Linked DNA regions of Macaca fascicularis. The protein of the gene in region 2 purifies or fractionates together with the protein of the main gene of each other region. This does not show direct contact. Links are inferred from orthologs where the notes say so. Each region holds a gene or a part of one and is shown on either strand. Other genes may lie near its edges. The genes, in order: PKN1 and KBTBD8.

Region 1 (4,463 bases), on a different chromosome or scaffold from region 2:
GAGGCTGAGGCAGGAAGATCACTTGAGTCCCAGAAATCGGAAATCAAGGCTGCAGTGACATAGGATCGCACCGCTGCACTCCAGCCTGGGTGACAGAGCAAGACTGTCTCCCCCAAAATAAATAAATATAAACAAGTAAATCAATCAGTAAGGACACAGATTCACACCCTGAGCTGCTGACCAGGACGCTTACCAGTAATGACTTCACAGCAGCCCCGCCTGCCAAGTGCTGGCCAGGTCTCGGTCTCTCTCTCCCATGAACACCCTCTTAGTCCCATTTTTCCTAGGTCAGAACCGAGGCTCAGAGAGGCGAAGGCACTGGGCCCAGGACACACAGCAAGGAAGTGTCAGCGTCGGAATTTAAGCCCAGGCTCACCAAATACCACCCTCACTCAGTCAGGCCCCACCCCATCCCCAGCAGGCAGAGGGAGGACACAGCCAAGAGCGGGGTCAGCTCAACTGGGGAAGTCCAGGCAGAGAGGAAAGGTGGCCTCCCTCGGCCCCACCTCCAGCAGCTGAGGTCTGTAATGCAGAGAGGGAGGGAGGCTGGGCTCCTGGGTTCTCCTCCCCTGAGTGACTCACTTCTTCCCAGGGCATACAGGTCACCTGAGGGCCACCAAGGCAAACCCAGGACTCAGGGGCCTGGCCTGGCCTATGGAGAACCCCTGCTCCTCTGCTGCCCACCATGGAGCGGAGACCTCAGACCCAGAGGACCTGCCTCCCAGAATCCCCATCTTGCCAGAGCAGCCAGGGACCTAGACCCCCACATCCGGAGATTTCAATGCCTTGGGCGTTTCCGGAATCTGGACAGGACATCCGTTTGCAGGACACAGAACAGACAGGCACACGTTGGGACAGATAGAGGGACAGGGCGGCAGGCCCAAGCAACCATGAGAGAGGGATGACCAGGAGGAGGGAAGAGACTAAGGAGGAGATGGGAAGGGGGGACCAGGGCGTGGGTCCAGCCTCACTGCAGGAATCACAGCCTGTCTGGGTCATGTGTGGGACGCGCCAAGCGCATGCATGCGCCCGGGGATTCCTACACAGCCCTCCCTGGGCCGGGGGTGGAGGCAGGGACCCCGGCCCATCCCGGCCCTGAGGTCTGACCTTGTGTGATCGGCAACACCAGATACGCCCAGCTCCTCGGCAAGGCCGGCAGGCCATCAGCAGGACTGGGGAGGTGGGAGGGACCGGGGGTTACGGGGGAGACACAGAGGGGCAGGGGGCAGGTGCAGAAGGAGACGAGAACCCAGTTACACAACAGCCACAGGACGATGAACTGGATGGTGAGGTGCAAATGGGGGCACCGAGGCACAGACATTTCTCAGATTTGGGTCACTTGAACCAAAGAAGGTTGGCAGTCACGCTGGCCCTGCTTGTCACAGACGGGGAAGATGAGTCCAGGTCAGTGATACCAACCAGGTGGCACGGGGGAATCTGGCTGGGCAGAAGGCTGGTGCCAGTCACGTGTGTGTGTTAGGAGGGTGGGGGTGACCCAGCCCTGCCCAGCCACCATGCAAAAAAGTAGGATTCTATATATGGGAGCATCCCTGGCCTGTTGACTGAGGCACTCCCCACCCGGGAGAAGGTTCCACCTGACAGTCCAAGAGTAGGAGCGGGGGTCCCCAGTCCCCCGACCTAATGCAGTGACTCGGGTACTTCCGCCAACAGGTGCCAATCTGGGTGGCGTCTGGAACACTATAAAGCTGTCTAGAGGCGGGGGTGGCTGGAGCTTTGTTATGCGGGGGAAGGGCACGGGCCGGGCCCGGCGGCCTCCTCCCCTCCCACGGCACTGCGCCAGGCACCTGCCCCAGGTGGAGCGGCACCTGCCGGGCACCCAACCCTGGGGAGGGGGATGAGTTTGGGGGCGGACGAGAGGCACCGGGACTCCCAGCCAGCCACAGACACCCGAAGTAGAGCCTCCGCCGCGCCCCTTCTAGTTCTCTGGGAGAGGCCGAGTTTGGGGGTGCAGCGGGGGGTGCCTCCGAGATTGCCCCCAAACCAGCCCCGTCCACATCGCCACCTGCCGAGAAGGGGGCCTCGCTGGCTCCACAGTCCCGGCCCAGGGAGGGGGCGCCGGGCGCTCCGGAGGTCCCCGCCCTAGCCATCGCCACCCGAGTCCCGTTCGGGGGGCTGGGGGGCTCCCCCGGGAGCGCGAGGGCGGGGTCCCCTGGAGCCGTCCGGTCGCCCCGGGACTCCAGACGCAGGTGCGCCTACCTGCAAGGCGTCGCTGGCCATGTCCTCCTGCCGCCCGCCAGGGGTCCCCGCGCGGAGGGAGGGGCGGCCAGAGGAGCGCGCGTGCGCCCCGGGCGTGGCGGGGAGGGGGCGGGCGCGGCGCGACCCTCCCCGGCCCGCGGCCCGCTCCGGCCTGCTAGGCTCCCGCCTCGCCTGCCCAGGCCGCCGCGTCCCCGCGCCGCGCCCTCCAGCCCCAGCGGCCGCCGGGCCCGGTCACGTGACCCCGGAGGTCGGCGCCCGGGGAGGGGGCGGGGCCGAGGGGGAGGGGCTCCCAGAGGCCCCCGGGGCTGCGGGGTCCCGCCCGCCCGCCCCCTCAGTCTCCCGAGCTCGGAGCACCCCGATCGGCTCCCCACCTTTCCTCTTTCCGGGTCCTGCGACGACCGCACGCTGCCGAGAGGTCCCCCATTGGAGCGCGCGGGAACCCGAGGAGAACGGTTCCCCGCGTTCAAGCCGAGAGCGGCGGAGGCCTTTGGGCCTCCCAGAACCCCTGAAAAAAAAAAAATAACCCCCCCACCCCACCCCATCCCTGTGCATTTGCAAGCTCGGGACGCCTGCATCTGTGGTCCCCTATTCAAGGGCATGGAAGTTTCCCCGTTACCTGGAGACAAGCTCTGGGCAGATCTGCATTCAAATGCCAGCGCTTTACGCCTTGGGGAAGCCAAATCCTTCCAGGCACCTCATCTGTGAAATGGGAATGATGCGCTCACCTCCTAGGTGTTGGTAAAATTCAATGAGACAGTGCAGGCCAAGAGCTGAGAACACTCTAGACGCTCCATAAGTGTTAGCTGCTGTCACTTTTAATGTTATCGTAATTGTTTGTTGTTTTGCTGTTTTTGGACGGAGTTTCGCTCTATTGCCCATCCTGGAGTGCAGTGGTGCGATCTCGGCTCACTGCAACCTCTGCCCCCCGGGTTCAAGCGATTCTTCTGCCTCAGCCTCCTGAGTAGCTAGGATTACAGATGCCCGCCATCATGCCCGGCTAATTTTTATATTTTTAGTAGAGATGAGGTTTCATCATGTTGGCCAGGCTGGTCTCAAACTCCTGATCAGGTGATCCGCCCGCCTCGGTCTCCTAAAGTGCTGGGATTACACAGGCTTGAGCCACTGCGCCTGACCTCTATTATCGTTATTGTTATTAAAAGAGGTTTGAATCCCAACTCGCTGTTCATCCTGGGAACCCCTGTGGCCTCTGAGTCTCAGTTTTCCACACAATAAAATGGGCACCGCCTTCTTTTTCGGGGCTGCTGCATGCAGATGGCGCTCCATAAATGCAGACTCGTGCCCATGCGGAGAGTGGAGGCCTCTGAGGAATTTCTAGGGGATCTCCGGGGTCTGCAGAGCGTGCAGCTTTGTTTACGGCTGCCGTCGGACCCTCACTCCTTCGGAAACCAGGCGAGGGAGCCAAACCTTGGTCTCCGGGGCTCCGGCGGGGAGCGCTCCCTGGCGGCGGTGTCTGCACATTGGCGCCCTTTGGGACCCGAGGAAGCGCCGTGGGCTGTGGGTACCTTAGCTACGCGTGGCTCTGCGTGGTTTCAGTCGTCCCGGAAACCAGGGCGCGATGTTTTCTCTCTTATTTTTTCATCTGAGCAACTCTTTGGGGGATATTAACAACAGAAAGAGAGAAGGAGGAGAATATTCTGATCTAGAATCCATCCAGCCAGGCATGGTAGCGCATGCCTGTAGTCCCAGCTACCAGGAGGCTGAGGCAGGAGGATCGCTTGAGCTCAAGAGGCCGAGAATGCATCACTGTGGGGAGCAATCATGATGCCCCTGCACTCCAGCCTGGGTGACAGAGCGAGACCTTGTCTAAAAAAAAGAAAGAAAAAAAAATGTCTGGGTGCAGTGGCTCACCCCTATAATCCCAGCCCTTTAGGAGGCCAAGGTGGTGGTGGGTGGATCACTGGAGGTCAGGAGTTCGAGACCAGCCTGGCCAATATGGTGAAACCCGTCTCTACTAAAAAATATAAAATTAGCTGAGTGTGGTGGCGTGTGCCTGTAATCCCAGCTACTTGGGAGGCTGAGGCAGGAGAATGGCATGAACCCAGTAGGCGGAGGTTGCAGTTAGACAAGATTGCACCACTGCATTACCCCCTGGGTGACAGAGCAAGACTTTGTCAGAAAGGCAGGAAGGAAAGAAGGGAGGGAGGGAGGGAGGGGAAGGGAAGAAAAGAAAAGAGAAAAGAAAAGAACTCTGTGGGCTGGGCGCGGTGGCTCACGCCTGTAATCCC
Region 2 (3,811 bases):
TGATTGATTTTATGCCAGGAAAAAAAATGCTGATAATTGCACTTCGTTGTCTTTTCCTTACTGAAATGAAATGTCACAAGGATGAAGGAAAATCCCTCGCTACCCTGCGATCTTTAAGCATACCCATTTTCCACATATAAAACTCTCAGCTTTCTGAAATACTGTCAGCACTCTTTTGTATCAAAGACAAGTTTCCTAAGAATGAGATGCCAGTGATGCACTAAGGCCTGCTACTCATTTAGAGTACTTTCTGAAGACACTGAGGATACAGTTTAGCAACAGCACATTCAAAATGCCGGCCAAGGTCCCAGAGCCGATCTGGGGTCTCATACACTTTCATCCACTGGTCAGCAATGTCATCATACTGGTAAAGGGAATTTTTTCTGCTGGTTCTGAAGACGTGTTCTTCGACAGTCACTTGAGTAGCTCGAACAAATAAATGGAGTTTGTTCTGGAAAAGTACCAGTTTAAGGTATGGATTTATGGACTGATCACATGGAAAGTCTTTCTTACGAGTCCATTTATTTAGCTCAATATCATAGGCTTCTACAGTAAACATACGTTGATGATTTCCACAGGTTCCAGCTATGTAGTAGATAGAGTCCTTGTATACAGCTGCTAAGCCCTGGATTCTAGGCACAGTCATGGGGGTCAGGAAACCCCAGTAGTCTTTTTGAGGCTCATAGAAGAGGAAAAATTCTCCTAAAAAAAGAAAACAAGAATATGTATATTTTTATGTTTGGTTTTTGGTTATATGTTGTAACTACAACCTCTAAAGATTAAAGGGCATAATTTTCTATATATTTCACTTTCTAAAACATTTTCTTTATAATCTCTGGAGATACATTCATATGGGTTACGAAATACCTTAAAACTTTGTCATTCCATGACACAATATAACCGATAATATTATAATCAACCTGAATTGGGAGGTTTGTATTGGGAAGGTATAAGGAGTTACTTGGGTTTGATCATAGAATTGTTAAGAGCTTGATTCTGGCTGGGCACCATGGCTCATGCCTGTAATCCCAGCACTTTGGGAGGCTCAGACAGGTGAATCACTTGAGGTGAGGAGTTCAGAGACCAGCCTGGCCAACATGATGAAACCCCACCTTCATTAAAAATACAAAAATTAGCCAGGTGCGGTGGCAGGCACCTGTAATTCCAGCTACTCAAGAGGCTAAGGCAGGAGAATCGCTTGAACCTGGGAGGTGAAGGATGCAGTGAGCCAAGATCACGCCACTGCACTCCAGGCTGGGTAACAATGTGAGACTCCAGCTCAAAAAAAAAAAAAAAAAAATTATTCTATTTGCTCTATCCAATTTGTGTGTTTATAGAAAACTCATTTCACTCTAACTCTAAAAAAGCATTATTAGTAGTGTTCAGCCGGTAAGACCAAAATGCATACATACAACATCACCATAAATATGCCATGATAAATGTATATGCTATTTCATTAGAAGACAGCAGATGGAATTATACAGATTTATGCTTATGGGTCACTGATGTGCTTACCTGAATGTTGCTATAATGCAAAGACAAATATTCAGCAGGAGAAAACATGCCTTTAATAAGATAGAAAACACATACATGGTTTGTGATGTTGACTCTGAGTCAGTTTCTATTTTGATTTGACAATAAAAAGGTATGCTGAGTCAGACTGCCAATATGAAAATGTCTGAAAGAATTAAAGTAGTGAAGATTTACAAGAGTTTTGCTAATTATAGCATCTGTATAAAATCTTTGTAATAAAAATCTGAACCCTTTATGAACAGATTAAATGATACTTCAATAGCCACAGATAGTACAACATAAGCTTCTGACTATGCATGTCAGGTTTATTTATGTAAAGAGGCTTTGTTTAGATTAGAAATACCAGATTCTAAATTGAGCTTCCCCTTGAAAACTGTTTTGAACTAGGGTTACTCTTATCTACAGATTCGACTACCTACTTCATAACAGTGATGCTTTGCCTTCAACTGACTTAAAATAGCTTGTTAAGCTCCCAGATTTGCTTGCACATCATCTGCCCTTATTGCCTAACTTGTAACAGGATTCTTGATAAAGAAGGTAGGAAATTTAAACTTTGTAATGTGTGCTACTTCTCTATAAATTTCTTATAGATAAGAAAGTAAAGACGACAAACCAAAGAAGTTGAATTTTAAAATCTAAAGTACTCTTTAATAAGTTAAAGCTAATAATATGCAATTAAGAAACCCTTAGGGCTTCAGAATCCTCTTATGTAAAATATAACCTCAAATTAAATGATGTTAATAATTCCAGCCCTGAAATTCTATTAATTCATTGCTAGTTTGCTTTAGTATTTGCATTAATATACAACCTTTACATTCCAAATAGGAATCTAATTCTACCTCTATCAACTAACAGTTAGGCAGTAAGACCAAAATACACACATACACAGCTTCATCATACTGGATGACATAACCTATCCAACTATACTGGACAGATTATACATCCATTCCTATATTCCATTTTTCTGCAAGACAGCAAACCCAAATCATGCCCGGTGCTTCTATTTAACTAAAATAATGAACCAGAGACTACAACTCCTTCTGAGGAATTAACTTGACACTGAACTTAAACAAATGGGCTCGGACATTACTAGGAAGTTTTTAGTTAAATAAAGGATTAGAGCAAGGAACACAATTTTTAAAAGAAAACAATGGTGGGAGGCCAAGGTGGGTGGATCACTGGAGGTCAGGAGTTCAAGACCAGCCTGGTCAACATAGTGAAACCCCGTCTCTACCAAAAACTCAAAAATTAGCCAGGCATGGTGGCGGGTGCCTGAGACTGAGGTGGGAGAATCATGTGAACCCAGGAGGCGGAAGTTGCAGTCAGCCAAGATCATGCCACTGCACACCAGCCTGGGTGTCAGAGTGAGACCCTGTCTCAAAACAAAACAGAAAGAAATAAATGAAAGAAAAGAAGGGAAGGGGAAGGGGAAAGAAGAAAGAAAGAAAACAATGGGATAAGGGCAGTCATGCATCAATTAATGACAGGGACATATTCTGAGAAATGCATGGTTAAGTGATACTTGTCCTTGTGCAAAGAACTTCATAGAGCATACTTACACAAACCTAGATGGGAGCTTACCACACACCTAGGCTACACTGTAGCCTATTGCTCCTAGGCTACAAAACTGTACAGCATGTGACTGTACTGAGTACTCTAGGCAACTATAACACAATGGGAAGCGTTTTTTGTATCTAAACGTATCTAAACATGGAACAAGTACAGTAAAATTATGCTATCATAATCTTATAGGACCACCATTGTGTATGTGATCCATCACAGACCAAAACATTACATGGCACATGACTGTATATCTTCATAGAAGCTGCTCCTTTTCCTTAAGTAGTAGTGTGAGAAAAACATCAATTGAAGGACACATATGAAGAATAAGGATGTTGCTATTATCTACACTGCATTAAACATTCAAGCAACTAAAATATGTAAGAAACCAAATAAAAGGAAAATACTAGTTATCACAAATCAGAGCCTTGAATCAAATGTCTTATTTACTCTGACTCAGTCACTCTACCTCTACTGTATTTTTGTCAAAGTAGTCCTTAACAGTTAAAAAAACAAACAAACAAAAAACACTACATATATCAGACAGTCCTATTAAAATGGCAAACCAAAAAAAAGTGACATCTCAAAGTTTTCCGGTGAAAACAATTGAAAATGTATTATGAAAGGCAACATAAACAGCAGTGAAGGTGAAACTTAAAGACTATACTTCCAAACTCTTTGTAATTAAGTTTCATAACTTTTGCAATAATAAGGCTTA

The links.
Region 1: the proteins of KBTBD8 (region 2) and PKN1 purify together in Homo sapiens (affinity purification with western blotting; 3 studies listed by BioGRID and IntAct, with this or other methods). This does not show direct contact. The link is inferred for Macaca fascicularis from reciprocal best matches to the Homo sapiens genes KBTBD8 and PKN1.

Annotation. Positions count from the first base shown.
Region 1 is NC_088393.1:14,864,176-14,868,638, reverse strand, and holds the start of PKN1 (serine/threonine-protein kinase N1), read right to left. Parts: upstream 2,919-4,463; 5' UTR 2,817-2,918; coding exon 2,589-2,816; intron 2,438-2,588; exon of another isoform or gene 2,239-2,437; coding exon of another isoform or gene 2,218-2,238; intron 2,024-2,217; exon of another isoform or gene 194-2,023; intron 1-193. UniProt on the Homo sapiens protein: PKC-related serine/threonine-protein kinase involved in various processes such as regulation of the intermediate filaments of the actin cytoskeleton, cell migration, tumor cell invasion and transcription regulation.
Region 2 is NC_088376.1:130,078,592-130,082,402, reverse strand, and holds part of KBTBD8 (kelch repeat and BTB domain-containing protein 8), read right to left. Parts: intron 703-3,811; coding exon 239-702; 3' UTR 1-238. UniProt on the Homo sapiens protein: Substrate-specific adapter of a BCR (BTB-CUL3-RBX1) E3 ubiquitin ligase complex that acts as a regulator of neural crest specification.